4 linked regions of the Rhinolophus ferrumequinum genome follow. The protein of the gene in region 1 purifies or fractionates together with the protein of each later gene. This does not show direct contact. Links are inferred from orthologs where the notes say so. Each region holds a gene or a part of one and is shown in the gene's direction. Other genes may lie near its edges.

The links.
Region 2: the proteins of CASP8 (region 1) and TRADD purify together in Homo sapiens (affinity purification with western blotting; 6 studies listed by BioGRID and IntAct, with this or other methods). This does not show direct contact. The link is inferred for Rhinolophus ferrumequinum from reciprocal best matches to the Homo sapiens genes CASP8 and TRADD.
Region 3: the proteins of CASP8 (region 1) and NOL3 purify together in Homo sapiens (affinity purification with western blotting; 3 studies listed by BioGRID and IntAct, with this or other methods). This does not show direct contact. The link is inferred for Rhinolophus ferrumequinum from reciprocal best matches to the Homo sapiens genes CASP8 and NOL3.
Region 4: the proteins of CASP8 (region 1) and FASLG purify together in Homo sapiens (co-immunoprecipitation; 8 studies listed by BioGRID and IntAct, with this or other methods). This does not show direct contact. The link is inferred for Rhinolophus ferrumequinum from reciprocal best matches to the Homo sapiens genes CASP8 and FASLG.

Annotation. Positions count from the first base shown.
Region 1 is NC_046291.1:30,096,142-30,103,712, reverse strand, and holds the start of CASP8 (caspase-8), read left to right. Parts: upstream 1-4,431; 5' UTR 4,432-4,526; intron 4,527-4,872; exon of another isoform or gene 4,873-4,957; intron 4,958-7,571. UniProt on the Homo sapiens protein: Thiol protease that plays a key role in programmed cell death by acting as a molecular switch for apoptosis, necroptosis and pyroptosis, and is required to prevent tissue damage during embryonic development and adulthood.
Region 2 is NC_046298.1:16,895,177-16,902,760, reverse strand, and holds the start of TRADD (tumor necrosis factor receptor type 1-associated DEATH domain protein), read left to right. Parts: upstream 1-4,289; 5' UTR 4,290-4,792; exon of another isoform or gene 4,793-4,973; intron 4,974-4,995; exon of another isoform or gene 4,996-5,176; intron 5,177-7,584. Other genes in the region: FBXL8 (F-box/LRR-repeat protein 8), read right to left, coding at 1,377-2,349, 3,083-3,279, 3,921-4,001. UniProt on the Homo sapiens protein: Adapter molecule for TNFRSF1A/TNFR1 that specifically associates with the cytoplasmic domain of activated TNFRSF1A/TNFR1 mediating its interaction with FADD.
Region 3 is NC_046298.1:16,903,535-16,911,081, forward strand, and holds the start of NOL3 (nucleolar protein 3), read left to right. Parts: upstream 1-4,242; 5' UTR 4,243-4,645; intron 4,646-6,893; 5' UTR 6,894-6,905; coding exon 6,906-7,200; intron 7,201-7,352; coding exon 7,353-7,547. Other genes in the region: HSF4 (heat shock factor protein 4), read left to right, coding at 1-45, 353-428, 568-632, 1,160-1,262, 1,504-1,631, 1,757-1,984, 2,525-2,630, 2,728-2,793 and 2 more.
Region 4 is NC_046305.1:8,088,625-8,096,540, forward strand, and holds the start of FASLG (tumor necrosis factor ligand superfamily member 6), read left to right. Parts: upstream 1-4,648; 5' UTR 4,649-6,022; coding exon 6,023-6,361; intron 6,362-6,931; coding exon 6,932-6,977; intron 6,978-7,916. UniProt on the Homo sapiens protein: Cytokine that binds to TNFRSF6/FAS, a receptor that transduces the apoptotic signal into cells. Involved in cytotoxic T-cell-mediated apoptosis, natural killer cell-mediated apoptosis and in T-cell development.

The DNA of each region.
Region 1 (7,571 bases):
GTGTTCCCTGCGTTTTACACTATCAACTGCATTATGTGTTTTTACTCATTAAAGTTAAAAATATTTAATTTTATGATTTGTTCTTCCTATGGCATTGTAAACAAATAGATTTGTTTTAAAATGTGTTCCTGTTATGTGGCTAACTCTTTGACTTTGTAATGAGAAAATAGAGAGCATCAGAGCTTCATATACCCATAAACTTCAAAAGAACAAATTGATTCATTTTATATCTCAATGTCTAAAGAGAAAGAAATGCAGCTTTGGTTTTTAGTTAAACTTTAAATGTTCGACCATTCTTGAATTTATTCTTTTAAAGTTTTTAAACTGGATATGCCAGCTTTGTTTTTACATTGGAACTCAAAGTTAATGTTTCTTATCACTTCATTTGAAAACCAGTAATTCATTTACTCTTGCCCCAAACTACACACTAATATTTCTGATATATTAACAAAATAGAATTAAATAGGAGAAGGTGGAGGAACTGAAATTCAGACCACTCCTACTCGTAGCACTAATCAAAACTTAATACGTCCTCATTTATTCAAAGTGAGCTTATTCTGATTTTTGATTGATTTTTAAAACCACAACTTAAGAAATAACAATCAGAGTACCCAAACACTGCCCTTTCCCTTACGGAGAACAGTCTCCAGTAAAAGCTGCATATAACAAGCAATAACTGAATTGAATGGTTGTATACTATTCATGAAACGTTTTTTAAGACTTGTATATGAATTGCTTTTTACAAACTCTGTATAGATTTTAAAAGGCTGGAACTACTCTTACATGGACTAGACTGTATTTTTGACCTATACATATTTTTGTAACTTGAAAAAAAAATTGCCTTGTTTTTTCAAAAAAAAAAAAGCCCTTATGCAGTTATGGAACAGAAAAATACGTTTTTTCCCAGCTAATTTGGTGAGGTGTACATAGCCTTGAATCCACAAGCACAATGCAGTCAGGGCCCTGAGTTCATTGGGTCAAACATTTAAATTTAAAAAATAAACAAATAAAACAAACAAATTGATTGAATTTCTTATCTCTGTGTGCGAAAGACCTATCCAAGCTTAAAAGGAGTTAGAGAAATTGACAAAGGAATATAGAAAAAAATGATATGAAGATGAAGTATTTTGGTATACCTCACTATTGACCAAATAGAGATCAATACTAGAAATAAAATAGATATGCTTGAATATCCAATAATTTAAAAACACACCCACTCTCTCTCTCTCTCTCACAAATAAAGCAAAAGAAAACAACAGAGTTGGAAAAATATATGTGCTAAAAGAAAAATAAAAGCTGAAGAACTCTATATCAAGAATTCTTCTACCCAAAAAATCTGAAAACATCTACACACAAAGACACGTGTGCTCCAATGTTCATTGCAGCTTTGTTTACGGTGGCCAAGACATGGAAACAACCAAAATGTCCTTTGATAGATGATTGGAAAGAAGTTGTGGTATATATACACAAAGGAATATTATTTGGCGGTAAGAAAAGATGATATAGAAACATTTGTGACAACATGGATGGATCTTGAGAATATAATGCTAAGCGAAATAAGTCAGAGAGAAAAAGCAGAGAACCATATGATTTCACTGATAAGTGGTATATAAACCAAAAACAACAAAAGAACAAGACAAACAAATGAGAAACAAGAACTCATAAACACAGACAATAATTTACTGGTTACCAGAGGGTAAGGGGGATGGGGGTGGGAGATGAGGGTAAGGGGGATCAAATATATGGTGATGGAAGGAGAACTGACTCCGGGTGGTAAACACACAATGAGATTTATAGATGATGTAATACAGAATTGTACACCTGAAATCTATGTAATTTTACTAACAATTGTCACCCCAATAAATTTTTTAAAAAAAAGAATTCTTATACATTAAAAGGCCAGTACCCCATATCCATTTTATAAGTGACAAAAATAGATAAACAGTCAATTTATACACAAGAAAATTTCTGTTACTGAAGCAGTTATGGAACATAGAAAAAGACATGTCACCAACTAATTTGGTGAGGTGCACATAGTCCTGAATCCACAAGCACAATGCAGGCAATTTATTTTTAAGAAACTTAGACTGTGTAAGAAATCCTATAATCATCTCAAAAGATTCTGGGGGAAAAATGTTTTTATAATTTAACACCCCTTCCTTATTTTAAAAAAATGCTAGGGAGCTAAGATGGAAGGAAAGTGCTAAAATGGAAAGAAGGTAGATAAAAACATCTACCAGAAACCTAAATTAAAATTCATACTCATTAGGGAGACTTTGTAAGCATTCTCATTAAACTCAAAAACATGATAAAGTTGTCTGTTAGTAATGCTATTGTTCCACACTGTTCTGGGGAACCGCCCCAATTTAATAAGTCAGACAACTTAACAAGTTACTTTCACATGTATATCTGATGTGGGGAGGGCAGCTTACCTGTGAGGTTGACCAGGTAAAGCTTTTGTAATTGCCGATGTGTGGGCCTGAAAGATCACACATAGGATTTTGGCCTGGAGCCAGACTCTCAACTTCATCCTTTCAATTTTCAGAGTCCAAGGGAAATACATAGGCTACCTGATCACGGACCATAATGGGACTCTGAGGGACTGTGTCAAGAACCAGGTAATTAGTCTGAGATCATAATTAATATCACTCCAAGTAGGATGATTAGACCTGCCTGGAGGGTTGAACATAACCATGAGCCCCAAAGATTGCCAGGTCAGGAAAAGAAGTCTGATAGTCCATCTGGGTCTACTTCAGAGATCCAGGAGGCTTTCTATCTAAGCCTGGTGATGGATTGTTTTGTTTTGCCAGCCTCATTGATCCAGGTACAACACAATGTGTCAGCAATTGCACAGACCCCACCTTGGCTGGCCGCTGGAAGTTGAGGGCTATTGCAGGTATTCAACACTACTTGGGCCAAGGAACTGAGGCTGATCTGTTGTGCCTTCAAAGCTAAAGTAGTGCCATGAATGACCTCAGCAAGAGTCAAAGACAGGTTGTCTTTCTAACTGAGGGAACCCAACAGTGGAAATAATTACCTGGAGTTGGTAATGCCCCTAGTAATTCTCCTGAATAACCGGGGTCCCCCTGGTCTTGGAGTTCCCATCTTACTCAGTGTAGTGCAATATGCTCAATGGGTGGGACTGTTTTGAATATTTGGAAGTCTCTTACTAATGCCCCCTATATATGGATTACATGAATGCCCCATATATATGCATTACATTGCTAGGAGGAAGGCAGGTGAAGGCCTGTGTTTACAAAAGAAATAACAATCCAAAGGGGCCCACATAATGCTTAGAGTGTAAGAGTCATTGCTACCATGGGACTCTATCAGCCAGAAGTCACTCCCAGTGGGCAGGGTCCTTGAGTGGAACTGAAAAGTCTGTGTAAAGTGGGGGCAAGTGTAGGGGAGGAGACGGCCTTCGCTACTGAGGTCAAAATCGCCCTGATGGTGGATCCCATTCCCCCTGTTGAGATGTTCCAACTGCCCTGGTCTGACAGGAACAAGTTGACACCTAGGAAGGCGTTTGCTCTTGCATTGTCAGAGTCCAACTGTGGCAGCACATTGGATCTAGAATAATAAGGTTGGGGTCGCTGAGGTACCAGAAAGGTCCATGTTTAGAGAAATGCCCATTTGTAGTATTTAGCAGCAGCACAATCAGCTGTTTATCTGTGGGGTCAGGTAGGGGGTGACACCTCCAGCAGTTTGTCAAATACAGGGCAGGGGCAACTTCCGGAACTGGGTGATGTCAAAGTCACACAGGCTTCTCTGTGGGAGAGAGGTTAGATCGCCACTTCTCCGTTTCCCATGACCAAGCTCACAGGTTCAAAGCTGCTCACATCCCGTCAGTTGGAGGGACTTCTCCCCATCAACTGTGGGCAGTCTCTTCTGTACCATGAGAAAGGATAGCACCTTTCATCCATTACTCAAGGTGGTGAACCCTTATCGTCTGCCTTGGATCCTCTTGTAACTCAATAAAGTCCCAACTAGAATGAATGAATGTCCTAACTAGAATCCTGGAAAAATAGATGTCCTAAATGAAAAAAAGAGCACACCATCATGCACTCCTTAAATACTGAACTGAAAGTGATCTTAGAAGTTTTCTAGATTTTCTAACTTCCTTCTTTTGGAATGTAGAAATTGGACGGAGAGCTAAATTGAACTGCCCAGATTCAAGTCTGGGTAACTTATGCTCTGACCTGTGCTCTCTCCATGCCGTAAAATGGCCTGTCATGCGAGCACGATACAGAAAACCTTGTATTTCATTTTCTGCTTAGAGCCCCACCCTCTCACACTGACTTGCTGAATCTGTTCCGCCTGTGGAAATTCCAGAAGTTGCACTCACAGGAGCGCTAGCAAAATGCCCTTCATTTGACTTTCATTATATTTTTGGAGGCGTTTCTTGGCAAGAACACATTCCAGAAAGAAGCATCTGTATTTACCTTTTGATAAATTTATTTAGAATTTTAAGAAGGAATCAGCTTGTTTCTGGAATTGTCTAGGCTGGTGGCCACTTGGATATCCAGGTAATACTTTTCTTTTAACTTAATATATATAAATTTCAGTTTCTCTTGCAATAAACCAAGAGCACATTTGGGACGTTGAAACTTTCAGGCTGGAGATCCTTCCTCTTGGCTCCATTCTTTCCCCTCAGCTCTGCCTTTTGCCAGGGATGGCTGGATTTCGCAGAATTTCCACTAGCACAATGTATTAATGAATAACAGCCTCGACTTTTGAGCTCCAAACACCCTACTTCCTTAGTCATGGTAACTGATTCTCTCTTTTCTACTCTAAATAATTAACAAGATAAAGAAAAATATCCAGAACAATATAATAGGAAATGCAGGGCAAGAAAATCATGGGGAACCTTACCTTATGGGTTGACCATGCTGGCTTGCATGAAGATCCTGCTTAATGGAGCTCTGGTGTGTAGCAGCTTGTGTGCTGAGTGAGTGTTTCATCAGATTGGGTGGGGACGTGGCTGATTGAGGCGGCTAAAGTGGCAACCTTATCAGTTTAGGTTTTCAGCCTGAGTCTTTCAGTTAATATTCACTTCAAAACAAGAGGCAAATTTTCCCTCAGAAAATCATTTGAAGGCTTTTCACTTTGGAGGTGTGGATTCATGATATTGAAGGAGCTGGAATGCAGAGGAGACGCCATTCTGTGATTGGCAATGTCGTTAACATTTCTTCTTCTGTTCTCTGGCCTGCCTTTTTACTCTCTTAATGGTATCATCTTCTGAACAGAAGCTCTTAATTCTAATACAGCCCAGCTGATCGTTCTTTCCCTTATGGTTAACTCTTTTTGTTTCCTATTTAAGAATCTTTGTTTACTTTAACATCATGAAAATGTTCTCTTAGGTTTTCTTATAAAAGTTTTGTTTCTTTCCTTTTTATATTTAGGTTTATGATCCATCTGGATTTGAATTTTCTGTACGTAGGAGATAAAGGTTTATTTTATTTATTTATTTATTTATTTATTTATTTATTTATTTAAACAGGACTTTATTGGGGAACAGTGTGTACTTACAGGCCTTTTTTCCAAGTCAAGTTGTTGTCCTTTCAATCTTAGTTGTGAAGGGTGCAGCTCAGCTCCAGGTCCAGTTGCCATTACTAGTTGCAGGGGGCGCAGCCCACCATCCCTTGCTGGAGTCGAACAGGCACCTTGTGGTTGAGAGGACGCGCTCCAACTAACTGAGCCAGCAGGGAGCTCAGCGGCAGCTCAGCTCAAGGTGCCATGTTCAATTTTAGTTGCAGGGGGCGCTGTCCACCATCCCTTGCGGGAGTGGAGGAATTGAACTGGAAACCTTGTGGTTGAGAGCCCGCGCTCCAACCAACTGAGCCATCTGGGAGGCAGCTCAGCTCAAGGTACCGTGTTCAATCTTAGTTGCAGGGGACGGAGCCCACTATCCCTTGCGCGACTCGAGGAATTGAACTGGCAACCTTGTGGTTGAGAGCCCACTGACCCATGTGGGAATCGAACTGGCAGCCTTTGGAGTTAGGAGCATGGAGCTCCAACCACCTGAGCCACCTGGCCGGCCCAAGGTTCATTTTATTTTTATTTCTTTTTTAAATTTAATTGGGGGATATTGGGGAACAGTGTTTCTCCAGGCCCCATCAGCTCCAAGTCGTTTTGTCCTTCAATCTAGTTGTGGAGGGAGCAGCTCAGCTCCAAGTCCAGTAGCTGTTTTCAATCTCTAGTTGCAGGAGGCGCAGCACACCATCCCATGCAGGAATTGAACCCGCCACCTTGTTGTTAAGAGCTTACACTCTAACCAGCTAAGCCATCTGGCTGCCCCTCCAGAAGCTCAGCTTTCTGCTCATTGTCTTCAATCTGGTTGTGGAGGGTGCAGGCCACTGGCCCATGTGGAAATTGAACCGGCAACCCTGTTGTTCAGAGTTCGTGCTTTAACCAACTGAGACAGCGGGCCACCCCCAGTTCATTTTATTTTTATATGTTACTATTTATCATAAAGATCATCTTTTTTTTTTCATTTCAATGCAGTGTCATCTTTATCCATTAATCAGGTGATATTATATGTGTGAGAGTTGGTTTTTTTAAGTAACAGACTTTATTTTTTAGACTAGTTTTAGATTCACAGAAAAGTTGAGCAGAAAGTAGAGTTCCCATATCCTCTCTCCTTGAACTTTCCTCTATTATTAACATCTTGCATTAGTCTGGTACATTTGTTGCAATTGATGAACCAATATTAACACATTATTATTATTAGTTAAAGTCAATAGTTTACATTAGAATTTACTGTTTGCATTGTACAGTTGTCCTGTGCTCATGTCATGTGTCCACCATTACAGTGTCATACAGAATACGGTTTCACTGCCCTAAAAATCTCTTGTGTTCCACCTACTTACCCTACCTCTCCAACCTCTGGCAACCACTAATCTTTTTACTGTCTCTGTAGTTTTGCCTTTTCTAGATGTCATATAGTTGGAGTCATATAACACGTAGCCTTTTCAGACTGGCTTCTTTCACTTAGTAATATGTGTTTCAGGCTCCTCCATATCTTTTCACAGCTTGATAGTTCATTTCTTTTTAGTGCTAAATAATATTCTATGGTATGGTTGTACCACAGTTTATTCATCCATTCACCTACTGAAAGACATCTTGGTTGCTTCCAAGTTTTGGCAATTATGAATAAAGCTGCTATAAACGTTCATGTGCAGGATTTTTGTGTGTAGACATAAAATTTCAACTCTTTTGGGTTAAGAGTCTTGGTTTACTGGGAGCATAATTTCTGGATTATATGGTAAAAGTATGTTTAATTTACCAAACTGTCAAAGTGGAGTACCATTTTGCACTCCCACCAGCAATGTGTGAGAGTTTCTGTCACTCCACATTCTCACCAGCATATGGTTTTGTCCGTGTTTTGAATTTTATTGCATCTAGAAGATGTATGGTGATGTTTCAGCATTGTTTTAATTTTCAGTTCCCTAATAACGTGTTGTTGAGCACTTTTTATATGCCTTTTTTGCCATCTGTATATTTTTTTCATGAGGTGTCTGTTCAGATGTTTTACCCACTTTATAAAAGGGGTGTTGTTTTCTAACTGTTGT
Region 2 (7,584 bases), on another chromosome or scaffold:
ATCTGGGTCCCAGCCCTGCGATGTGACTGAGCTAGAACCAGACCCAGGCCTTCTCGTTTGGTCTGTTTTCCGATCTCTCTGATGACATGGGATGGGAAGTAAATTACCACAAAGATTCCTCTGGCTCTAGGTCTCCAGAAAGCTCCCACCCTTTCCTCGGCAAGGAGGAAGTCGCCTCACCTCCATCTCGCACACGCCCTCCAAGATAAACTACCCTGGGCAGCTGAATTGAGGGACCCACAGCCGCATCCCAAGCCACGGTTGGGTGGGTATGGATGTTCACTGACGTTGAGGGATCCCGGGTACCACTGGGGGAGTCAAAGGGCCCCAGCCCTCACCGGGCTCCAGCGGATCAGGTGGTCGGTGCTGGAGTCACCCACCAGCGTCCACAGCTTGCCGAGGAAGGCAGGCACAGGGCTGGGGCCCGGCTCCGTGGGCAGCGCGGCTGGCGCTTCCAGCATGGTGTAGTTTCAGCCTGGCAAAGCTCTAAGCCCGGGCGCCGCGGGCTTGTCAAAGCCGCAGAAAGTGCTGTGTTTGCCTCCCGCCCCGCCCTACTCCGCCTCCGGGAGCTGGGTCAGGTGGGGGCCACGTGCGAACCCGCCAGGCGGGGCTCAGACCCGGGCCTCAGCACCAGCAGACCGTAAGGGCAGGCTGGGATCGGCTGTGTGTGAAGGGGTGCGGTGGGAAGGGAGACCTGGGTTCGAGTTCCACCCTTGTCATGCCTGCTGTTTCCCGTTTTGGGGGGAGGGAGGGGAAAAATAGCTGGTATGGGCTGGCAAAGTCCTAGATAGAAGGCGATGGCTGTGGGCAAAGTGAAGCCCAGAGTAGAGCGGGCCAAGAGGGATAGGGAAGGGAGGGGGTGAGAAGTGGACACCTTTCCGCCAAACCGTGGGCGGAATTCCAAGAATGCGGGGTGCTGTCGGCCCTGACTCCCGCAGCAGCATCAGTACACTGGAACTTGAGGTCTCGATGTTTCTCATCCCTGTCCAGACGGCTCCTCGGGCCTCTGCAGGCTCCCCTCCCTCCCTCTCCAGAGCCGACCCAGGCTTTCACAGGATGCAGGGTTTATTTCACTCACTCCTGATGTCCGGCCTGCGCCTGTGTCATCCCCTCCCACACCACACCCGGGCTGCAAAGCTAGCGCAGCGTTTGCAGAAGACGGAGGCTGGAGGAGGGTGGTCCCAGTACAGGGACAGTGGGTGTCGGCAGATGTCGAGAGCACCGAGTGGACTCATGGACCACCCACCCCATCCCCAAGAAGCAACGGAGTCCTGAAGGAAGGGCTTAGCAGTTGGCGTGTGCCCAGGCAAACCCACCCAGCATCTTAGAGGCCACACATCAGCTGGGGCAGGGGGTGGGGGGACGGATTCGCCTTATCACGCCACAAGCATGGGCCTCCAAGGATGTGGCTCCCGCGTTAGTTTAAGAGTGTAGCTGCGCAGGTGCGGGCAGTGAGCACGAAAGGCCTGCAGAACCGAGGGTCGTACCACGCAGAAGCAGTGCACTTCGCGCAGGCCCGCGCAGCGCGCCGCCAGCAACTCCAGGGCGGCGTCCAGCTCCGCAGAGGCGGCGGCGCGCACCTCGAGCACGCGCAAAGTTGCAGCGTAGTGTTGCGCTGCGAATTCTAACGGACCTACGGTGTCGGCAGAGAGGCAGAGGCGCAACGCAGCCACCGGTACTGCAGGCTGCAGGATGCGCCTAACGCTCTCAGCAGGCAGTGCCGGTTCCAGTTCTAGCTCCACGGACAGTCCAGGGTGGCGGCGGCGCAACGCGGCCCAGGCGTCATCAGGGAGAGGGGGTGCTCGTGCGTCCTCGGGGCACGCGCATCGCAGGGCCAGGAGAGCGAAAGGCGCGCGGTGCGGCGCCGTCAGCGCCTCCAGGGCTGTGTACGATAGGCTGGCTAGGGGCAGGCCGAGGGCGCGCAGGCACGGGCAGGCCTCTAGTAGCTCAAGCACGGACCCCGGACCCACGCTGCCCACCAGCGTACTGTTGTTCAGGAAAAGGCTGCGGAGCTCGGGGCAGCCGCGTGCCACCTGCAGCACTAGCTCGTCGTCTAGAGTGAAGGGCAAGCGCCGGAGGTCAAGGTGATGCAGCTGGCGGGCGGCCCGGCAGATGGCGTGCACAGCGTCCAGGACGTCGCGGCCCGCATCGAAGAGTGGTTTCTCTCCACGGCACTCCAGGCAAAGGCTTCGAAGCCCCGGGGAACGTCCCACCAATGCGGTCAGCAGCTCCGTGGCCGCCCTGCGGCTCGGCTTCTTCGACGGCTCAAATTCCAGGCGTAGGTTGTGAACATGTTTCAGGCAGGCGGACAGATATGGTATCAGTATGCCTTCTCGCTCACAGTCACAGCTTGGGGTTACAGCGGTGGAGAAAAGGCATCAGCCATGTCCCCGCGAGCCGAAGAGAAGTCTCTACCCATTCGTCTGCCTGGTGGCCAGATACCATCCCCTCTTCCCTACCCACACACCTCTCTATCCCTACCATGCCTGGTTGCCCCAAAGTAGCCACTAATGCTAGGAGGGAACACCCATCCTAGCAAATCACGAAGACTTCTGATGGCGTCTGCCACAAGCTGAAACCCTGGCAGGGAGAGCCAATGATATTTTAGGAACTGGGCTTTCTCAGCTGTCTCTAAGGAGGTGGGGCATGACCAAGTTCATATTCCGCCCGTCACTCCTTAGCTGAATGATCTACAGGACGTGATTAAATCTCTGCCTCAATTTCCTATCTGTGCAATGGAGATAATAATACTACCTATTAATATATGTAAGGCACTTAGAACAATGGTTGGTACATACCGTGTTTCCCCCGAAAATAAGACCTCACCGGAAAACAAGCCCTAGCATGATTTTTCAGGAGGACATCCCCTGAACATAAGCCCTAATGCGTCTTTTGGAGCAAAAATTAATATAAGACCCGGTCTTATTTTCGGGAAACACGGTAGTAGGTGGCTAAGAAAGGTTAGTAATGATTATGCTTTTTAATATGGGGAGAATCACTGAATCTCCCCAACCCCTGACTCTACGGAGAGAAGGAGAAGAGGATAGGGTGGCAGGAGGAAGGAGGGGAAAGGCCAGCTTACCTGATGTTCGTGTCATGCCACACGGCACTGCAGGTGGCAGCAGCAGCCCAGGCTCTGCAGACCCTGGCGGCTGCCCCACGGTCCCGCAGGGACAGGTGGCGAAAGATGAGCGCCAGTACCTCCTCAGGCAGTTGCTGTCCAGACTCGGCCATTGCCCGGGGCTGGGTGGGGGCTGCGCTACTTCCAGCAACTCCGGCCTGGAGAGAGAGGGACGTCCCTGAGCTCAGGAAGGCCAGAGTGTTGAAGGGAACACCGGAACTTATGTAGGAACTTATGTATACTCGTGGCCCAGAAGCCGCTACATAATTTGCAGCGCAAAATGAAAATGTGGTGCTCTTTGTTCAAACCATTAAGAATTTCAAGTCAGTGACAACAGCATTTAAACAAGTTATTAAATCAAGCATAGGGCCCTGTGCGACTGCAGAGGCCTCAGACCCATGAAATCGGCCTTGGATGCCGAAGGATTTCTGATTCTCCTTTAAACTACGTTATCACTTGTTGAAAATAAAAATGCCCATTTTATGCAGTATTAGAAGGAACGCAACCATGCCCTATGCGCAAAGTTGATACTGCCGAATACCCGGCTTTTGGACGATGCTATAGGATCTTCCCGCCCAGTTACTAAAGTCTTTCATGGGGAAGTTGGAGGGCGCTTGCACAAGCCTTGACTCTGGACAACCCAGTCCTCCCCACCCCCCAGCTCAGAGAAGACGCCTCGCCTCCCCCTGCTTCCCTATACACGCACAGAGCTGCCAGACTAATCGTCCAGGGGTCACAGAACTGCTTCTCTCCCAGCTTAGACCCTGAGTACTAAGAAAGGACTGGGTCCAAGCCTCACCAGAAGGGCCACTGAAATCATTGGGCTTCTCAGACAGCGCGGGGCCAAATAATCACCCGGACACTTGTTCACAATACACATTCCGCGGACCCAACTACAGGACTCAATCAGGTTCTCCGGAAAGAGTAGGCAATCTGAATTTCAACAAACGCCAGTTGACTCCGCAGGTCCCAAGTTGAGAAATCCGTCCTAACCCCGCCAATCACAAGAGAGTGACGACAGGGTTAATCGGGCAGCAGCATTAGAGATTTTTAATTGGCAGAGATCATAAGCCAATCAGAAGGCGGGGACTCGGGTGGGGCACCGTTGAATCCGCCCTAAAAAGGGAGGCTCCTTCCCTTCCGCCACTTCGCTAGGGAGAGGTTCTGAGAGCTTCCAATGAAAGGCCGGTGGGAGAAAAGCTTAGGCCGGAGGGGCTCTGGGTTCAAGTTCCGATCCTGACCTCGGAGCAGCCCAGAATTCCCGTGGGATTCTGCAGATCCAACCCGAAGTGCGGGCTTTCCCTGGCGGGCGTCGTTGGAAAGTGTGCGTCCTCTTTGAGGTTGCCAATTTAAAGCTGCTTGAAGCAGCTTAAATGTTGTACACAACATTTAACACCACCTGCCGGTTTTCTATATTCCCGTATTTTGCAAGCTAATGGTCCTTGCTGGAATTTGCACGTGTATCCTGGAGCTTCAGATACCTTCGGACAGGCTTGAACCTGGGATCCACCAGCACCCCGTTCTGAGTGTCAGGGAGTAGCAGAGTTCCTCGAGCTCGAACCCTAGAAGGCACCAGAAAATTCTGGTCCCCAGGGGACGCCCCCTTGTTAATTCATCCGTTTTCCGCCGGAGGAAGCGGGGCTGCTCTCATCCTGGAGCTCTAACGGCCACGTAAGAACCGCAATCCCCTTTCCGCGGGCAGTTTTTCCTACCGTCTAACCTCGGGTGTCTTACCTGCTCAGTGGACCAGGTGAGCTTTGCCCAGAGGCTGGGGACTCGCGGTGGAGGAGTGGGCTAGAAGGAGAGGCGGGGAGTCGGAGGGGCGGGACGCCGGGGCGGACGGGGCGGCTCGGACTGGGGCGCCGCCTCTGCGCTCCGCGCACACCCGGAAGCAGCACGAGTCCAGTGGAGCCCGGCGGGAGTAGGATCGGGGCCGGGCCCCGGCAGCCAGGTTAGTTGAGGGGGGGAGGGGCCTTCCCGGTGCGGGAGCTGAGGTGGATCCTGGCTCAGGAGCGTTGGTGCGGCGCGATTGTCACCAGCGGCTGCCCGGGCCAGGTGGGTGCGGCGGCCTATTGGGCTGTTTCCGTGGGAGGCAGGAGAGAGGGTACTGACCTTGGCCCCCGCAAGTTCCAGGTCCCAGCTAGGGGCTTTCGAGAGGCCGCAGGGCTCTGGGGGTGTGAGGGCGGGGCTGGTTCTGAACGGATCTGTGAGCGGAGAACCCTTGCCCGCCCCAGCCAGTAGCGCCTGCGAAACACCAGCATGAAGGTGGTCTAGTGGGACGCTGGGGAGCTTCTCTCGAGAGCTCGGAAGCGGCGCAGCTGAGCAGGGGGCACGCCTGCCTGGATACTGGGAGCCCAAAGCTTTCAGGCCGTTGCCGCCCACCTGGCTGGCTGGAGTAGGGGCTGCCTGGGAACTGTTAGACTGTGTTAGTGGGGCGCTGGCCCCTGGTGGTAGAGGCGTATTTTCTTGAGTCGGTACCCATGTGTCCGTCAGTCTCAGGTCAGGTAAGCGTTTCCAGGCCCAAAGAAAGGCGGACTCCGGGTGGGTTTGCGCGGGGCTTCCCAAGGAGGGGCTTCTGTGGAAGGACATGTAGGATGGAATTCCCAAGGGGACGACGGGAGCCAAGGGCTCCAGCCGACCTGTTTGACTTCTCCCATTTGTCCAGTCCTGTGAGTGTGATGGCGCATCCCCCACTCCTCCAGGTTTCCAGTACCCCCTGGCAGGTCTGAGGGGAAAATTCGGCCCAGTCCCGCCCCCACTTCCACCCCTTGGGCAGGACCATATCCATCGGGTCAGCACCCTCAAGTAAGGGGGCTAAGAAGACGTGAAAGAGAAAGAGGAAATGTTTCCAGGACAGGTTCCTACACTCTTCTGCCACCTGGGCCACTCCCCCAGGGGACCCCAGGGGACTACAACTCGTGGTCTCACTTGTCACCTACAGAGTGTCTCACCTTTTTTTTTGGCTTTTTAAGAAAAACATTTGCCTTTTTAATACAAAGGAAATGTGTCTACTTTATAGATAGAATATTGTTAAATACAATGAAAATTAAAATCCCCCAAATCTCCTCCCACCCCCATAGACTACTGTTTTAGGTAAATACACAACTATTAATATGTTTTCTATCAAAAGGTTACAGGCAGCTGAGGGGGGGACTCAAAAGGCGTGTCCCCTGTGCTCAGACCCAGAGTAGGACCATCACCAGGTATCGTTTCTCTTGCCAGGTCTGAATGATGCTGGAGGGCCCCTCCCCAGTTATTGTCCCGGCTTTGGCTCTCAGGTTAGGGCCTGGGGGCAGATCTGAAACAGCCTCTGCTTTGAGCTCAGGATTCCTGCTCCCTCCCCAACAATGTCCAAAGCTTGTGGTCCTGGCTCCTTCTGGTACCTCTCCTCTGAGGTTCCCTGTCCCTCATGTAAATGGATGCCAGCCTATCTGCCCTGCCCAGGGCAATGATGTCCAGGGTGCTCACAGCTAGGGCTCAGCACTCCCTCCTAGCCCACCACATGTAAGTGCTGAATACCAGAGATTGAATAAGTGTGGTAGATGGGGCAGGAGGTGGGGTCTTGAACCTATGTTTCAAGAGTGGGACTCAGGTGAGGGGGTGAGGAAGAGGCAGGGCAGTTTCCCACCTACTGCCTCATGGGAGGCCACTGAGGCTCAGTGCAATGGTTACCTGGCTGGGAATTTTGCCCCTTAGCCCTCAGGATTTTGTCAGAAGATAGATGGAGGAGATTCTATCACCAAGGGGCCCTGGCTCTGTCCGGACAGAGAAGAAATCTGTAATAGAACAAATTGAGTTGCATAAGACAAAAGCCCAGTTTCAAGGACTTCAGAACAAAAAGGAATGATTTAGCTCACATACCGTGTTTCCCTAAAAATAAGACCTAGCGAGACTATCAGCTCTAATGAGTCTTTTGGAGCAAAAATTAATATGAGACCCGATCTTATATAAGACCCGGTCTTATATTATATTAAGACCGGGTCTTATATTACATTTTGCTCCAAAAGACATTTTAGAGCTGATGGACCGGTTAGGTCTTATTTTCGGGGAAACACAGTTACTGAAATGGCCAGGATGCAGCTAGAGCCAGGGGCATAGTGTGGTTCTGAGTGCACCTCTTCATCTCTGGGTTCTGCTTTCTGCTGTGTCAGTTTCATTCTCAGCCAGGCACTTCCCAAGCAGGGCCAAAGGAGACCCACCCTTCCAGCTCAGCCTCGAAGGGAAACCACTCCTCTTTCCTATTGGTCCAGCCAAAGTGGCAGGTTGATGTAATTGGTCCAACTTGAATCTATCCAACTCTGAGCTAATCATTTCAGAAAGATGAATGGAATATCCAGATTGGCCAGGCCTGTTTTACATGCCCACACCTGGACTAGGGAATGGGGTTTGCCCTCCCACAGGCACATGGATTGAGAAGAGGGAAAAGGGACCGCCCCAAAGGTCAGTCAGGATTGGGGAAGGGA
Region 3 (7,547 bases), on another chromosome or scaffold:
GGAAGTACAGGAGAGCACCGAGGCGCGGCTGCGGGAGCTCAGGCAGTGCGGGAGTGGGGGGGTGGGGAGGGGGGAAGAGCGGGAGGGGGGGTGAGGAGGGGGGGAAGAGCAGGAGGAGGGCAGGGAGGGGGCAGGGGGGTCTGAGAGAGAAGACACTGGCTGCCAGGCGGTTTGGGCAGCTCCTTCCTCTCACGCTTTGGTGCCTCCATCCAAACAAATGGGCCGAGCTGTAGAACTCTGTTCTCGATGGATGATTATCCGGGTGGTCGCAGGTTGGGGCCTGCCATTGTGTGGGGAGTGGTGACTGGGCGAACTCTCAGATGCCTCCGCACCCTCCCACGCCTCCCCCCAGGCAGAACGACATCTTATGGAGGGAGGTGGTGTCCCTGCGGCAGAGCCACGGTCAGCAGCATCGTGTCATTGGCAAGGTATTTCTCTTCCCCCACCCCACTTTTCTCTCCTCCCCCTGAATATCCCCCTCCCCCAGTCCTCTAACCTACCTGGAAGTACCTTGTTAGGGTGGGGGCAAGGTCCAAAGGATGAATTAACCCTTTACTTCCTCTTCAGCTGATCCAGTGCCTCTTTGGGCCACTTCAGGGAGGGTCCAGCAGTGCAGGAGCTAAGAGAAAGCTGTGAGTGAGAAAGCCAGGGACACTCACCCTCCGCACCTCCTCTTTCAGCGCTCTTCCTGCTGGAGGGACTCCTCCAGAAACCTCTTCATCAAGAATCCTCATTCTCACCCCCTCCACCAGTCTTTCTCACCCCATAGCCGTCTCCCCAAGAACCTCCTTCCAGGACTTTTCCTCTCTCCTCCAATTTCACCACCAAAACCCCCAAATCCCCCACTCAGATCCCTCAGTTCTAGGACCTTATCCTCAAATTTCCACCCCAGCAGCCTCTTCCCCCTCACCCAAAAGCATCCTAACATCAGAGGGTCTGGGGCTCAAGTCAGGCTTCCTCCCTCCTCTCTCTAACCCCAAAGGGCCTCCATCTCTGGGGGGAGCCCCTTCTGTGTCCAGCATGTGACTGATGCCCTGGCAACAGGCCTCAGCTCTGCTGACTTGGCTGCTGGGGCCTGTGGGAGGGAGGTGGTACAGGCTAAGGGGCATGGGAGATGAACCTTCCCAGAGCCCTGCCTGTGCTCCCCTACCCTGCACAGGTCCCTGATGCTGGATGAGGGGAGCTCATGTCCAACACCGGCCAAATTCGGTGCCTGCCCCCTGCCTGGTGCCCTCCTGCAGGACCCCTACTTTATCCAGTTGGTAGGTTTTGCTTCTCCTCCCTTCCCTAGGGTACCCTTGAGCTTATGAAGAGCCTATTCGTTTCCATTTCCCCCACAAGAAGAGAAGATGGAGGCCAGCCTCTCCCCCCTCACACCAGACCAGACTCCCCAGCATGGACTTCAAACCTTCCCCTTTAGACCTGGTCCATGTGGGTACTGGTTGGGTTCTGGTTCACCCTGTGGCTTCGGGTGAAGGGCTGGGCCTAGTGTTCTCTTTACAGCCCCACCCAGAGACCACATTGGGACTCAGCAGCCCTTACAGGGCCAGAGGTCCCACCATCTCTGACATCCCAGAAGACTCTCCATCCCCTGAAGGGACCAGGCTTTCTCCCTCCAGTGGTGGAAAGAGGTAAGAAGGACAGACAAGGGCAGCCTTCTGGGGGCCTGTGGGGAAGGGGCTGGCAGCACAGATAGCTGTGGGGGGTAGGGGAGAAGTCAGTGCCAGGGTCTGGTTGAAGCTTTTCTCTGGTGCAGGGAGAAGGGCCTGGCACTACTCAAAGAAGAGCCGGCCAGCCCAGCAGGGGAAGGTGAGGCTGGGCTGGCCCTGGCCCCAAATGGGTGTGACTTCTGCGTGACAGCCCCCCCAGCGCTGCCTGTGGCTGTAGTGCAGGCCATCCTGGAAGGGAAAGAGAGCTTCAGCCCTGAGGGACCCAGGAATGCCCAACAGCCTGAACCAAGGGGTCCCAGGGAGGTATCTGGCAGGTGAGCAGAGAGCCCATTCTTGACTGAGCCCTGTGGGCCACTTTTGCAATTAGACCAGCACTAAGTAGGCCCCTGAAACTCCCCAGCCTTGTCGACCCTTTGGTGGCTGGGGGGCTGTCGGGCACTATGATCTGACCTGATTTCTCAGAGTTGCTCTAAGGAGTACCAGCATCAGAGGTCCTGGAAAGTGGAAACATCCTGTGGTAGGGCTCAGGAATCGGCATTTTAAATGAGATCATTGGGGTGGTTATAAAGATTGTAATGTACACATCAGTTTAGGAAGCACTGGTATTGACAATTGCATAGGGAGGGGACATATCCCAAGTCCCCAGCTCTACAACCCAAACCTCAGGCCAAAGTTAGGAAGCAAAGGCACTCTTATGTGCCCTCTGTGTGTGTGCGTGCATGCGCACATGCACGGTGGGTCCTCTCCTAGCATTCTCTATATATTGTCAGATTTAGATCCTGATGTCTCCAGGTTCCTTGGGAACCTAATTGGGCGGGGGGTACTGTAGGCTAAGAGCAGTTCTCTGTACACAGGGGGCCTCTGGGCCTGGAAAGGGGGGGCCAGAGCCCAGAGAGTCTGCTGTCTCCAATGCTACTTCGGGCCCCTCCTGAAAGTGTGGAGCCTGCAGGGCCCCTGGATGTGAGTACACCCTCAGCAAGCAGGGGCATGGTACTTGATGGGGTCCGGCTGTTTGTGCAGCCTGGGGAAGCCACCACTGACCCAGAGCTTCCCCCAGGTGCTGGGCCCCAGCCTCCAAGGGAAGGAATGGACCCTGATGGACTTGGACATGGAGCTGTCTCTGGTAACATGAGGGTGGAGAGGGAGGAGGTTAGGCGGTTATGGGTTGCTGAGCCAAGCCCTTTGGTCCATGGTTGTTCTCTCTCAGCTAGAGCCCCAGCTCTCCTCCCCAACTGCTTCCTGGGGTTCTTCTATGCAGATGCAACCCTTGGTTCCAGAGAAGGGTGAGACTGAGCTGGCGGTCAAGGGGTTAAATTCTCCAGACCCAGGTAATGGTTGTGGTGACTCGGGACCTGGGGGAGGTCCTGAATGGCCTGAGCTATGGTGATTGGATAGACCGGGCTGTTTGTGTTTTGAGTGACGTCAGTTCAGGCTGCCTGCAGAGAGCTACTAAAGCCACCCATCCCCTTACCACTGGATGAGTGTGGGGAGGTTGAGAATGGATGTTTCATCCTAACTTACTATATGGCAAGGCAGGTGAGGCTCTCCTTCCCTGAAGACAGGAGGGGGTGACCAAGAAGGGGGAACTGTTTCTCCCTGCTGAGTATAATAGCCTCACTCCTCGTAGGGAAGGACTCCACTATAGAGGCACCACTCCTGCTGGACGTCCACGCGGCTTTGGGAAGCCCAGCTCTCGGCCTGCCTGGAGCTTTAACCATTTACAGCCCCCCTGAGAGCCGGGCCTCCTATCTGGTCCCGGGCGCTGATCCCTTTCCCTGAGCAGCTCTCCACTTTGAAGCCAGCCTGACTGAGGGGCTGGCCTGCAGCCGCAGATCCTTCTCGGCTTCCCGGCGCCCCCTGGCGGAGGCTGAGCCAAGACCGTACAATTCGGTGGCCCCTTCCCATTACCAAGTCGTGCACATAAACCGCATTTTTCCCCTGTGTTTTTAGTTTCTTTTCTCTACCGACCAGGGAGCACAAACGTCATGGGTGTATGGAGGCTACTTTGCATTCGTAGAAGCCTCCAGATCCTAGGGTTTTAATGGAGAAACCCCTGGAGAGTGGAGTGCTTGGGGAGCCGGCTTCTAGTTCTGCTTAGGCCCGGATCCTCCCGCCTGGATCTAGGGCTGGTGCGTAGCCACTGCAATCTCCGGGAAGTGGAGGCTCTGGGCTTCACACCCAGCTCCGCAATGCATCCGCTCCGTGATCCTGGATAAGCTGGTCCCCTTCTCTGAGCCTTATCTGTAACAGATGAAGAGGGGTCGACAAGAAGTTAGGGGTAAAGAACCTGGGAATTGCCAGGTCCGGAGTGGGTGCCGGGTACGTGGAGCCGGGGCCGTGGGTCGCGTTGCCCCCTCGCTGACTCATTCAGTGTGCCCCGGGTGGGGGGAGAAAGAGAACCACGTGTAAGAGCCCAGGCGAAACACGGCCTCGGGCGACCTGCCTTCTACAGCTGGGAGAACAGCCCGCTCTCCCCACGCCCCTCCCGGTTCCCAGCAGCCCTGGCCGCCCCGCCCCCGCCACAGCTGCTGCTCCCACTCCTACACCCCACCCCGCCCAGCCCTTTCTGCCTCGTCATCTCCTGACCCGCCGAGGCCCGACCCGTGCGTGAGTCGGGCCGCCCGGAGCTCACCGGACCTGGAGCTCTATCCCATACGGTTGGGGGAGGGAAAAGAAACCGAGATTGGGCAGAATCTGCGTCCTTAACCAGCCGCGCTACTAGGTCTGTGAGCCCCGCCCCTCCGTGGGACTAATTCTGGGACCCAGTGGAGGGGAGAACAGGGGAGCTTGTGGTCGCACCTGTGCAAAGGCTCTCGCAGTTTCCCACAACCCTCGCTCCCTAGCAAAAGAGAACGGGCAGCCAGGTGGCGAGGGGGGCCGAGACCCTCCCCTCCACGCCTCGAACTTGGAGCTGCCTGGTGCCCCGAGAAGAATCTGGCCTGTGACCCTTGAAGGACTGGCGGCGATATAACTTGGTACAGTATTTACTTCTGAATAGTGAGTCTCAGAGGGAGGGCCCAGACCATCTGGGGTTTCTGTGTCCAAGATAGGACAAAGGACAGGACTTGGCGTGATGGGAAGAGGAGGCTAACATAAAACTAATTTGGGGAAGAGTGAGGGAGGATGAGGGACCAATCCGCTAGGCCCCCTCCTTCTCTGCACCGGTATAAGACCAGGTTCTATCCCCTCACCCTTCTTGCACCCCTGGTTGGGGGTCAGCTTTGGAAGCCTCAGCTTCTCAAAGAGGGCAGAGGTCGGCGGGTACACAGTGCAGTACGGTCAGCGCAGTGATGAGGGAATCTGCTGTTCACTGGTGTAATAGGAGATGAGATAAAATCGGTCTGCCTATGACACACTCAGGTATTGGGGTGGACAAGTGGACATTTGAGTCTAGGAGGATGGGTCCACAGCATGGAGGAAGGGGAATGGTATGCTAGGCTTAGGGAACAGCATCTGCAAAGATTCAGAAGTACCGGGGGCTTGGGGAGTTCTTCCAGCCCTGAGTGGTGGAGGGAAGTTGGGGAAAGCCTAGCTGTCCAGGGGTGTGGGAGAGCAGCCAGGCAGCATAGTCTGAATTCTCTCTGATGGACAGTGGGGAGCAGGTAGTAAGGGCTGAAATTCTGCTTGGCTGGAGATCTCATTGTAGTTCAGACTGGAGCAAGTCAGATTACAGGTCTGCCATTTGGTCTCTCTGAGCTTGTCTTCTCATCTGTAAAATGGGGAAAGTAAATCCTGCCCCAGAGAATCGTCAAAATCACTGTGCTGTCGGGGTAATGAGATGAGAGTGAGAGGTACTCAGAGAGACTGTCATAGGAGATGAGATGATCATGAGGGTTTGTGGGGGAATGATGATAGAGACTCAGTGAGAAGTGGAAGAGCAGCATTTGTCACAGATGGAACATGAATGGAGAGGGAGGGGCAGGAGGTACTCCTGGTCTCTGAGCAGTGGCCTAGGGGAAGGGCTGACACTTCAATATGACCAGGGAGGCATAACATGATACCAGGTCGTAGTGAGGGAGACTTGGGAGGCAGGATGGGGGCTAGGACCAAATCCATTCTCCCAGATCTAGAGCCAAGAAAGGAGGTAGAGGAGGGACCCTAAAGGGAGGATGAGACCGGGAGGATGCTATGTGGAAATGGGCTGAGAGAAGGAATGGTACAGGGGCAGACCTCTTTGCCCCTTAATGCCAGGAGCCTGGCTGTCTGGGTCAGGCCACCCAAGAGGAGATGGGCCATTGTCCTTAGTGGACAGAGCAGGTTAATTTCTGCCTAACACCTCCTGTTTGGTAGAGACAGTCTTTCAAAATGGGAGAATCCATGGAGGAAAACAGTAAAAGTTCGGCAAGTATTTGTTGGTAGCTTTTACGAGTTGGGCCCTGGGTACAAGATGAAGCAAGAGATGGCTGTGAGTCATTCCCAGGGCAGCAGGGAGACAGTTGAGTCTCAGGTGATGTCAGAAGATCTTGATCAGAGCTAGGACTCAAAAGAATTTAGGTATCCTGCTCAGGTGTTAAGGAACCAGGAAGGGCCATGCGACCATATTGGGGTTGCAACATGGTGGTAGCGTTAGTGGGGGGGGGGGGGTAGGGAGTGCAGGGGCACAGCCTGTCCTGGAAAGACGGACCTCAGGGTCAGGATAAAAGATCTGGACTTCTTACAGTGGGTGAGAGCAGCAGGGGAGGCTCCCAGCACTTTGTGCTCTGGGTGCAGAGGAGATTCAGGGCTCTCCAGGGTCTAGGCTGGAGATGAAAGCCTAGACTATGAAAGAGATGAGGATGACAGAAATTATTCAGCAGATAGAACGGAAAGGACTTGACTGTTATCTGGGTGTGGGTCTTTGCCTGTTAAAGTGGAGAAGCAGGTTTGGGAAAGAGAAGTTGGTTTGGATAAATTGGGTCTGAACAGATCGCGATGTCTGCAGGCAGCTGGGGCTCAGGAGGGAAGTCCTGGTTGGTGTGAGCGGTCATAGATACATAAGGGTCCTGGGAGAGTGGAGGAGAGGAGAGGAGGGCCAGCTGATGTTTAGGGACCCAAGGAGAAGCCTGATGAGGAGACCGGAGGCTGTAGAGGCAGGAATACGAGGAGTACGGTGCTGCGGAGCTGTCCCGCTGCTGGGGTCGAGGTGAATTTAAGACTCCAGCCACCAGTGTTCATTCAGGCCCTGGGAGCGAGGTCAAGAGCGGGGGAGCTTCGGCCCCCACTACCTCTCTCCCCCTTCCCCAGGCAGCCCTGACTATGGGCAACGCTCAGGAGAGGCCTTCGGAGACGATCGACCGCGAACGGAAACGCCTGGTAGAGACGCTGCAGGCGGACTCCGGACTGCTGTTGGATGCGCTGCTGGCGCGGGGCGTCCTCACCGGGCCCGAGTACGAGGCGTTGGACGCGCTGCCTGATGCCGAGCGCAGGGTGCGCCGCCTGCTGCTGGTCGTGCAGAGCAAGGGCGAGGCCGCCTGCCAGGAGCTACTGCGTTGCGCCCAGCGGACCGCGCGCGCGCCCGACCCCACCTGGGACTGGCAGCATGTGGGCACTGGTGAGCGCGCGCGGGGCGGGACCTGGGGCGGGACCTAGGTCAGAGTAGGGGGCATGGCCGGGGCGGGGTCCTCGTCTTCCGCAGAGATGGGCGTGTGCAGGGGAAACTGCAAACGGGTAATTGAACTTGAGACGGTCTCACCTCCGTCCCAGGCTACCGGGAACGAAGCTACGATCCTCCATGCCCAGGCCACTGGACGCCCGAGGCAGCCAGCTCAGGGAACCCATGCCCTGGGCTGCCCAGAGCTTCACACTGCGATGAGGCTGGAGATCGTGAGGGCTCGGAAGCAGTGCCATCCGTCACCCCCGAGGAGTTTGAGCCAGAGGTGGACGCTGAGGCCTCTGAAG
Region 4 (7,916 bases), on another chromosome or scaffold:
CAGAGAGAGGCAGAGAAAAATGCAATGTTGTCAAACTTCCACCGTAAAGTCAGCAGCAGGCCCGTGGTACCTGCAGTGTCATCAGGAGATGGGGCACATAGTGTCACTGAGTGAGGTTGCATTGATTCCCCCCAAGGAGTCCCGTTCCTGACCTGGGACCCTCCTGCCTTCATGAATTCGGTCAGCATGTATTTGTTGCGACTTTTACCCAGTGAACAAATAGGCACCGTGGACTGGTGGCAGTTATTGACTGGAAGTCGCAGTTCACATTTAGGTGCCTTCACACTATGCTCTCCCCTTTGTCGGTTCCTGTAACTTGTCTCTTCCTTTGCCTAGTGGTCACAAGAAGCTTGTTTCTTCTAGCTCTAGAGCATCATACTATGCCTTATGATTTCCCTACAACGTACCTATATGTTTGTAAACAGTCCCTTTTATTAAGCCTGTTTCAACCTGCCCTCATGTGAGTGTTCCATCTGTTTGCTGATGAAATCCTGATGCTAGAACAGGAAGCTTATTGACAGAAGTGATACGTCAAAAAAACGAAAACTTGAGGAAAACATCACACTTGTTGTGAAAAACTTTAGATGCTCATGATCACAGTTATTGTTTCATATAGTTCTCAAGGTTTGAGACAATACAAAAAGAAAAGAGAAAGAATGAGGTATAAGCATTGGAAGGGAGGATTAAATATTGTCATTTCCCCCCCCCATAATATATATGTACATTAAAAAAAAATCAGAAATCCACAGACACACTAATCAGAAGTAAAAAGAGACTTCCACAAGTTTGCAAGATTCAAGATTATTTATTACGAAATAAGGAGCATTTATTTAAACCAGTAACAGCCATCTGTATTAGTTATCTATTGCTGCCTAACAAATAACCCCCAAATGTAATGGCTTAAAATAACGTGTATTTATTATCTTACAAGGTTTGTGAGTCCAAGCTAGACTTAACTGGGTATTGTGAACTAAATGTTTGTGTCCCTCCAAAAATCATACTCAAAACTCTGCATCCCAATTCGATGGTATTAGGAGGTGGGGCTTTTGGAAAATATTTAGGATTAGATGAAGTTATGAAGGTGAAGTCCTCATGAATAGGGTTAGTGTCCTTTTAAGAGTCCCAAGAGAGCTTGCTGCCTCTCTCTCTTCCCCCAATGTGAGGCTACAATGAGAAGCCAGCCATCTGCAATCCAGAAGCCGCAGTCTTTTTATAACTTAGTCTCAGAAGTGCTGTCCCATCACTTCTGCTATATTCTGTCAGTTAGAAGTGGATCAATAGGTCCAGCCCAGACTTAAGGGGAGGGTATCCTAGAAGGGCACAAATATCAGGAGGTAGGAGAAACAAGGGGGTCATCTTAGAGGCTGCCTACCACAGAATAAAAACAAAATGCCACAGAAAATAAGACACCATGTATAATCACAACATTACAAAGCAATTAATCTAAGAAAGAATGTGTGAGACCATCCCGGAGAAAATTGTAAAGGTCATATAGAAGACATGAAAAACGGTGGATAGGGTGGAAACGTTGTAAAGATAACACTTTCCCCAAGTTAGTACAATTAAACAGTGCCGCAGGTCATTTTGGGAACATGGTAGTTTGTTTTTCCTAATACATTAATGGGAGGTTAAATATACTCAGGCAGCTAAGTCAATTTTGAAAAACAAGAGCAATAAGGGGGAATTTTGCCATAACTAGCTCTCAAGACAGTCTACAAGGCTGTAATTATGAAAACTGTGTGACCCTGGTCCTGGAATAGAGAAATCAATGAAACAGAAATAAGAGCCCAGAAAAAGACTCAACTATATGTAGAAGCTTGGTATGTGGTAAACATACCACTGTTATTCCCTGGGGGAGAAGATGGATGGTGTCGGGAAAACTGGCTCAGACATGGAGAAAAACAAACATGGATTTTTATTTTACATCACAAATAAAGGTGAACTCCAGATAGATTGAAGCCTAAATATGAAATTTATGACAGTGTGGCAGAAGGTATTTTCAATGTCGAAAAGTAGCCACAGATTAATAGCTAGAATATGAAGTGCAAGGAGATCCTGTGACTCAGTGCAGAAGAGATAAATCCAATTAAAAAATGGGTGTGATGTATGAACAGGAAATACAAAAGGGAAAACCTGACTGTCTGACGAGTATATGACAAGATGTTCAACCTCACAGGAAACCAAAAAAAAAAAAAAAAGGAAAATTAATAGGCAAGATACAGCTTTATAACCACAAAGCTTGGAAAAAATTAGAAAGGTGGATAATACCACCAAACAGAGAGGCAGACATGGGACAAGACAGTTATGCTGTTGGTGTTGGTGTCAGCAGACTCAGACACTCGGATGAGCCGCCTGGAAGTACTTTGTGAAATGTACAGGGTAGCGTCTGTGTTTGTGAATAAACAAGCTCCCGCTAGGAGCCTTTGCTCACCTCGGGAGACGATCAGCTGCTGTTTTCACCATGCACCACTCTATGCTACTGCCATGCAGGACCATTTCTGAAGGTAATTCCAATTCTAGAGGGACCATAATTAAACATCATTTGAACTTTCAGCTAATGAGGTAAGATGCTTAAAAGTTTTGAACACGTTTGTACAAGGCGAGTTCTCTGATTCGGTCCGACACTTAAATTTGCTCCCAAGTCTCACCCACAGCCATTAAATCTCTGTGACTGGCAATCTTACCCCTTCCCCTGAAAGAAATCTCCAGCTCGGAATCTCTCTCCCCTGTCCATTCTCAAGGACCCTGGTTCCAGAATCAGAGGGACAGGTGCAAAGTAGGCAGGTAGGGTGAGACTGAGAGAGGCCCTTCGGTCTGGGTTCCCCACGTGGAGGGCTGCCAGCCTGCCGGCTCTTTGATTCATTAACTCAAAGCCTCTCTTTCAGGCAAATATATATTCTTCTTCAGCAATCACAGAGCTGAGATCCACTTTGCACAGATTATTTCTGCTAATTAACAAGGTTCTGATAGTACCCCAAACGATGATGGGTGCCTGTTATTGTTTGCAGGGGTGTTTATGTTCCCATGATTTTGCCATCCTGTGATGTTTGGTGGCATTACCAAAGAGCGATGCCAATGTGGAAAGGCTGCTCCTTTGTCACTATTTCAGTTCAGAGTCGCCCTGAGATCGGCGGGCTTTGGGTGGTTCGGGCACTTACAAGGATTCTGATTTCTCGTATCACAGAATGAATCAAGAGAAGAATCAGGGCAGGGAGAGATGTGAAAACACAGCATAATTTTTACTGAAGAATGCTGGAAGTTTCTGTAGGAGAGTGAGATAAAAAGCAGGGGGTGGGGAGGGGGGTCTTAGCCTGAAACACAGGGGTCCGTCTGTCCATCAGTTCACTGGTAGAATCTGAGGACACTGGATGTCAGGCATTGACTTATACTTTTCTCTGCAACCTCTTTCCTCTTCTTTTATCCTTAATGGAGGAAGGTCACTTACATTATGTCAATAGTTGACGTGTATGTGGGGAGATTCACTGCACTGACAATAACGGCTTCTGTTCAGTGCTTACTTTGGTGCTAGTGACTGTCTCCAGTGTATCAAATGCTTTGACTCATTTAATCCTCACCGTGCACTCTGCAATGGGTACCATTGTGATCGTGCACATTTTTCTAGATTAGAAAACTGTGGCACAGAGGATGGAAAGTGACCTGTCCAGGTCACACAGTGAAGTTGGAAGAGCTGGGATTTGAACCCAGGCAGTTTACGTCCAGAACCACACACCCATAATCATCATGCCACACTCTCTTTCTGTCCTCCCTATCCAGAATGGTGGGATTTATTAGAATCTTTGCCATTTTGGGTAAAATCTTTATAGTTTAAAAAACATTGTTCTGCGTAATTTGTGATAGAGTTATTTCAGGATACTTTAAGGTTGGTTTTTAGTTTTGGTTTTTGGTGTGTTTTTTTTTTTTTTTTTTTTTTTTTGCTATTTTTCTTGTTGCATGTATGGTGGAATTTTTACAATTAAATTTCCAGGTTATTACATATTAACTTTAAACTTACCATTTTTCATAACTGTGAATAAAGCCATAAGTGAGTCCAAAAGCACATTAACTCTGCCCAACTCTAAAATACAGTGAGAACGTTGTACAGTCACTCTGGTCTCATGCATCTCACACTTGTGTGAGGGGAGAGTAGGATGTGGGCAGAGGGTCTGGAGAGGGGGCAGTGCCATTTGTTAGAGTACTAGTTGTCGGAGTCAGACTATAAGGAAGCCCGTCTTATGCTAAAGAAGAATCTGGATAACTCCTGTTGTCAAACCTTCCAACAGAAGGTTTCGGTAAGCAAGTGAGATAATTAGATTTTTTAAAAAAAACATCATTCTTGCAGCATTTTGCAGGGTGACTTGTGCTTGGGAAAAGCTGGTGGTAGAGAGACCAGTTAGGGTACCATTGCAATATTTCAGGTGAGAGATAATGAAAGTCTGACCTAGGCAATCGCAGCAGGAAAAATGGAAGCGGAGAAGGTGCGATGGGAGGAACATGTCTCAGATGAAATCCACAGTCCTGGGTGACTAGTTAAATGTTGGGGGAGAGAAGAGCGAGGAGTGGGAGTTGTCACCAGAAAGAGTGACCTCAGGTGAAACAGGTTGTACAGGGCGTGAGGGAGGGGTGGGGTGGGCAGAACATGGCAGGGAAACATGTTTGGTGTTGGTTTGGTACAGGTGAAGAGCCAGAATGCTAGTCACAGAGATGCCAAAGCATGATACAGAAGCTAATGAAATTGGAAAAGTATAGCCCTCCAATAAAATGGCAACATAGGGATTTATGGGAGGTTTATATGGAAGAATGATTATGACTGGAGCTGAGCTCTTGGAAGTTACTGGCATATCAGTGGTACCTGAGGCCGGAGGGAAAGGTGGGGTCAGTCCAGATAGAGTTGCCATCTTTAATAAAAGACAAAGAAATAGGACAATCAGTTACATTTAAACTTCAGATAAACAATGAATACTTTTTTTTAAGTATATTCCATGTAATATTTAGGCCATACTTATCCTAAAAATTATTTTTTGTTTATCTGAAATGAAAATTGAGCTGGGCCCCATGCATTTCCCCTGATAACCATAACAGTGGCTGCAAACAGAAATGCCTATGGGACCAGGAAGGCACCCATGGGAGGTGCTGTGTGGCGGGTGGAAGGTGGTACAGGTGGGGCAGCCTGGAGCACCGATGTCTCATCCTTGGGGGCAGCTGCTGCCCTGCTCCAGCTGATCAGGTTCGCAGACATGGCCTCAAGGGTGTCCAATATTCTAATGTTTCCAAACAGAAGAGAAGTATATATTTTTAATGTGAAATATCCCAATTTTAAAAGAAGACGACTAATGAAAAGCAAAAACATTGTGAGGCACAGAGCAGGTCTGTGGGTTCCCCAAGGCACAGGGGCCACTGCTTTGCAACCTCTGATCTAATCTTTGCAGAGTGGGTGGGGAAGGTGTTTAACCTGCAAGTTACAGTGCTTTGCAAAGTCAGGGTGCGGGGAAGGGATGGCAGCAGGCCGATGACTCCCTCCCTCATGCAAAAGGTAAAATGTGAAAACGACGCTTGTGGCCACAACTCCATGGTCTTGCCCCTCAGTGTCTGAACGCGTCCCATGGCCACGGTCGCCATAGCTGGGCAGTGGCCAAAACCACAGAGGGCTGCACCCCGTTCCACCTGCTCTCACAGGGCTGGAGAGACCAGCCTATCCCACCAGCCTTTCAGGTAGCAGGAGCAATCATTGGGGCTCTGAAGGCTTTCATCAGAAAATTGTGGGTGGCAACTTCCTGGGCTTTGTGCTGAGAGCTTCTTGAGGCTTCTCACCTTCAGATGCAAAGTGAGTGGGTGTCTCTCTCTGAGAAGCAGAAAGAAAAAACGAAAGAGAGGTGTTTCCCTGGGCTATGGAAACTCTATAAAGAAGGAGCTGGCTTCCCCTCCCTTGGTCAGTCAGAAGCAGAGGTCCCCTCCTTGATCCCTGGGACTCCCCGGGATCGAGAAGGAAAACCTTTGCCTGGGGCGTCCCGAGTCACTGGCTGCCATGCAGCAGCCCTTGAACTACCCGTACCCCCAAATCTACTGGGTGGACAGCAGTGCCAGCTCTCCCTGGGCCCCTCCAGGCTCAGTCCTCCCGTGTCCGTCCTCGGTGCCTGCAAGGCCTGGTCAAAGGAGGCCACCACCACTGCCGCCGCCACCACCACCGCCGCCATTGCCACCGCTGCCGCCACTGCCACTGCCACCTCTGAAGAAGCAAAGGGACCACAGCGCAGGCCTGTGTCTCCTTGTGATGTTTTTCATGGTGCTGGTGGCCCTGGTTGGATTGGGCTTGGGGATGTTTCAGCTCTTCCACCTACAGAAGGAGCTGGCTGAGCTCAGAGAGGTAAGCTGGCGTGTGGATTGCTGTGCCCTGGAGGCACGGGGGGGTCACACAGCTCTGTCACCGTGCAGGGGTCCACGGGGACCGCAGTCTTGCACAGGGCTTTCCAATCCTTGCTTCCTGTCTCAGAAATGGGTCGTTCTAGACATTTTATTCGACAGAGAATTGCAGGTGGTTCCCATGAGGAAAAGGAATATTTTCTGTTGGGGAAAGAAAGGATCAAGGCTGTAATAGGAATGGCAGGGACAGATCTTCTTGTGTCCTGTGACAAGTCAGCCTGCTGAGCCGCGTACTTGGTGATCCGAGAAAGAAAAAGAACTTTGAGTCTTGTGTAGAAGTGAATCTGTTCAAATGGCCCATCTTCATATTTTTGTTTCTTAATGCTTAAAAATATCGGAACTATTCCGAATCACAAAGCTGAGGCATGGGGAGGCACAGCGGCTCGGCCAAAGTCAGAGTCAGGAGAGCTTCTGCGGTAGTTAGAGTCCCTTTCCAGGGCTGGGTTTAGTTGATAATTCTGCCTCTCGCTTAAAGAACTTCATGTTGATTATGTGTCTTTTTCTTTTTTGCCAGTCCACCAGCCAAAGGCATATAGCATCATCTCTGGAGAAGCAAATAGGTGAGTCCTTTTATGCATGGCCATTGAGCTTCCAAAGATAGCCCTCCGTGCTGAACCATGTGGGTGGAAGGCCTTGAATTGCAGGCGGCTCCCATGAGGAAAAGCATCCATTCCCGGGCACATGCATGCTAACGGAGCAATCCTGGCGAATTCGGAATCTCTGGTCATTTGGGTTCCTTGAGCTGCCCTAACCTGTGAATGAATTTTACTGTGCAAAATCAGTGTATCTGGGTACTGCACACCATTCAAAATAATTCCCACTGGCCTTTGGGAAGAGATGCACACAAGTACATCCCTGGACCTTTGCCCCTGAGCAGCTGGCCCCAGGCTAGTCCCCTTCCTCCGGCCTCCTGGTTCCCATACACAGGGTGGTGGCTGTAAGTCCTCAGGAAAAGGGGCAGTGGAGGAAGAGAGCGATGTTTATAGGAAAGGTTTCCTCCTCTTTAAACTCTCAAAGATGTTACTCAAGAGCCAAGAGTTTTAAAACATATTTTATAGGATATGTTTAAAAGCTTTTTTTAAAATAAGTGCAAAATCAGTCATCCACGTAGGATGGTTCTTTTGCAGTCACTAGAAAGCTTGGGGAAAGACTCCAGCCATTATTCGAAGGGTATTCCAGCTTCATGCACAGAGGCAATCGTGAGCTACTTTTAGCAATAAAGGAAAATTCTTTGTATGAGACCTAGAACAGGGAGAGGATGGAAATGTTGAGCAATGGCCTCATGAAACTTCAGAACATAGTTTTGGAAACTGGAGAGATAGATTTAAGATTTTCACCAGCTCATCAAACTAAGACTTATCGACATTTAGATTTGGTAAGAGTTGGAAGGGAGCTTAGAGAGCATCTGGTCTAGTCATCTCATTTTTCAGAAGAGAAACAAAATACCAGACAGGTTAGGTGACTTGCCCAAGACCACTGGTGTGGAACTGGGGCCAGAA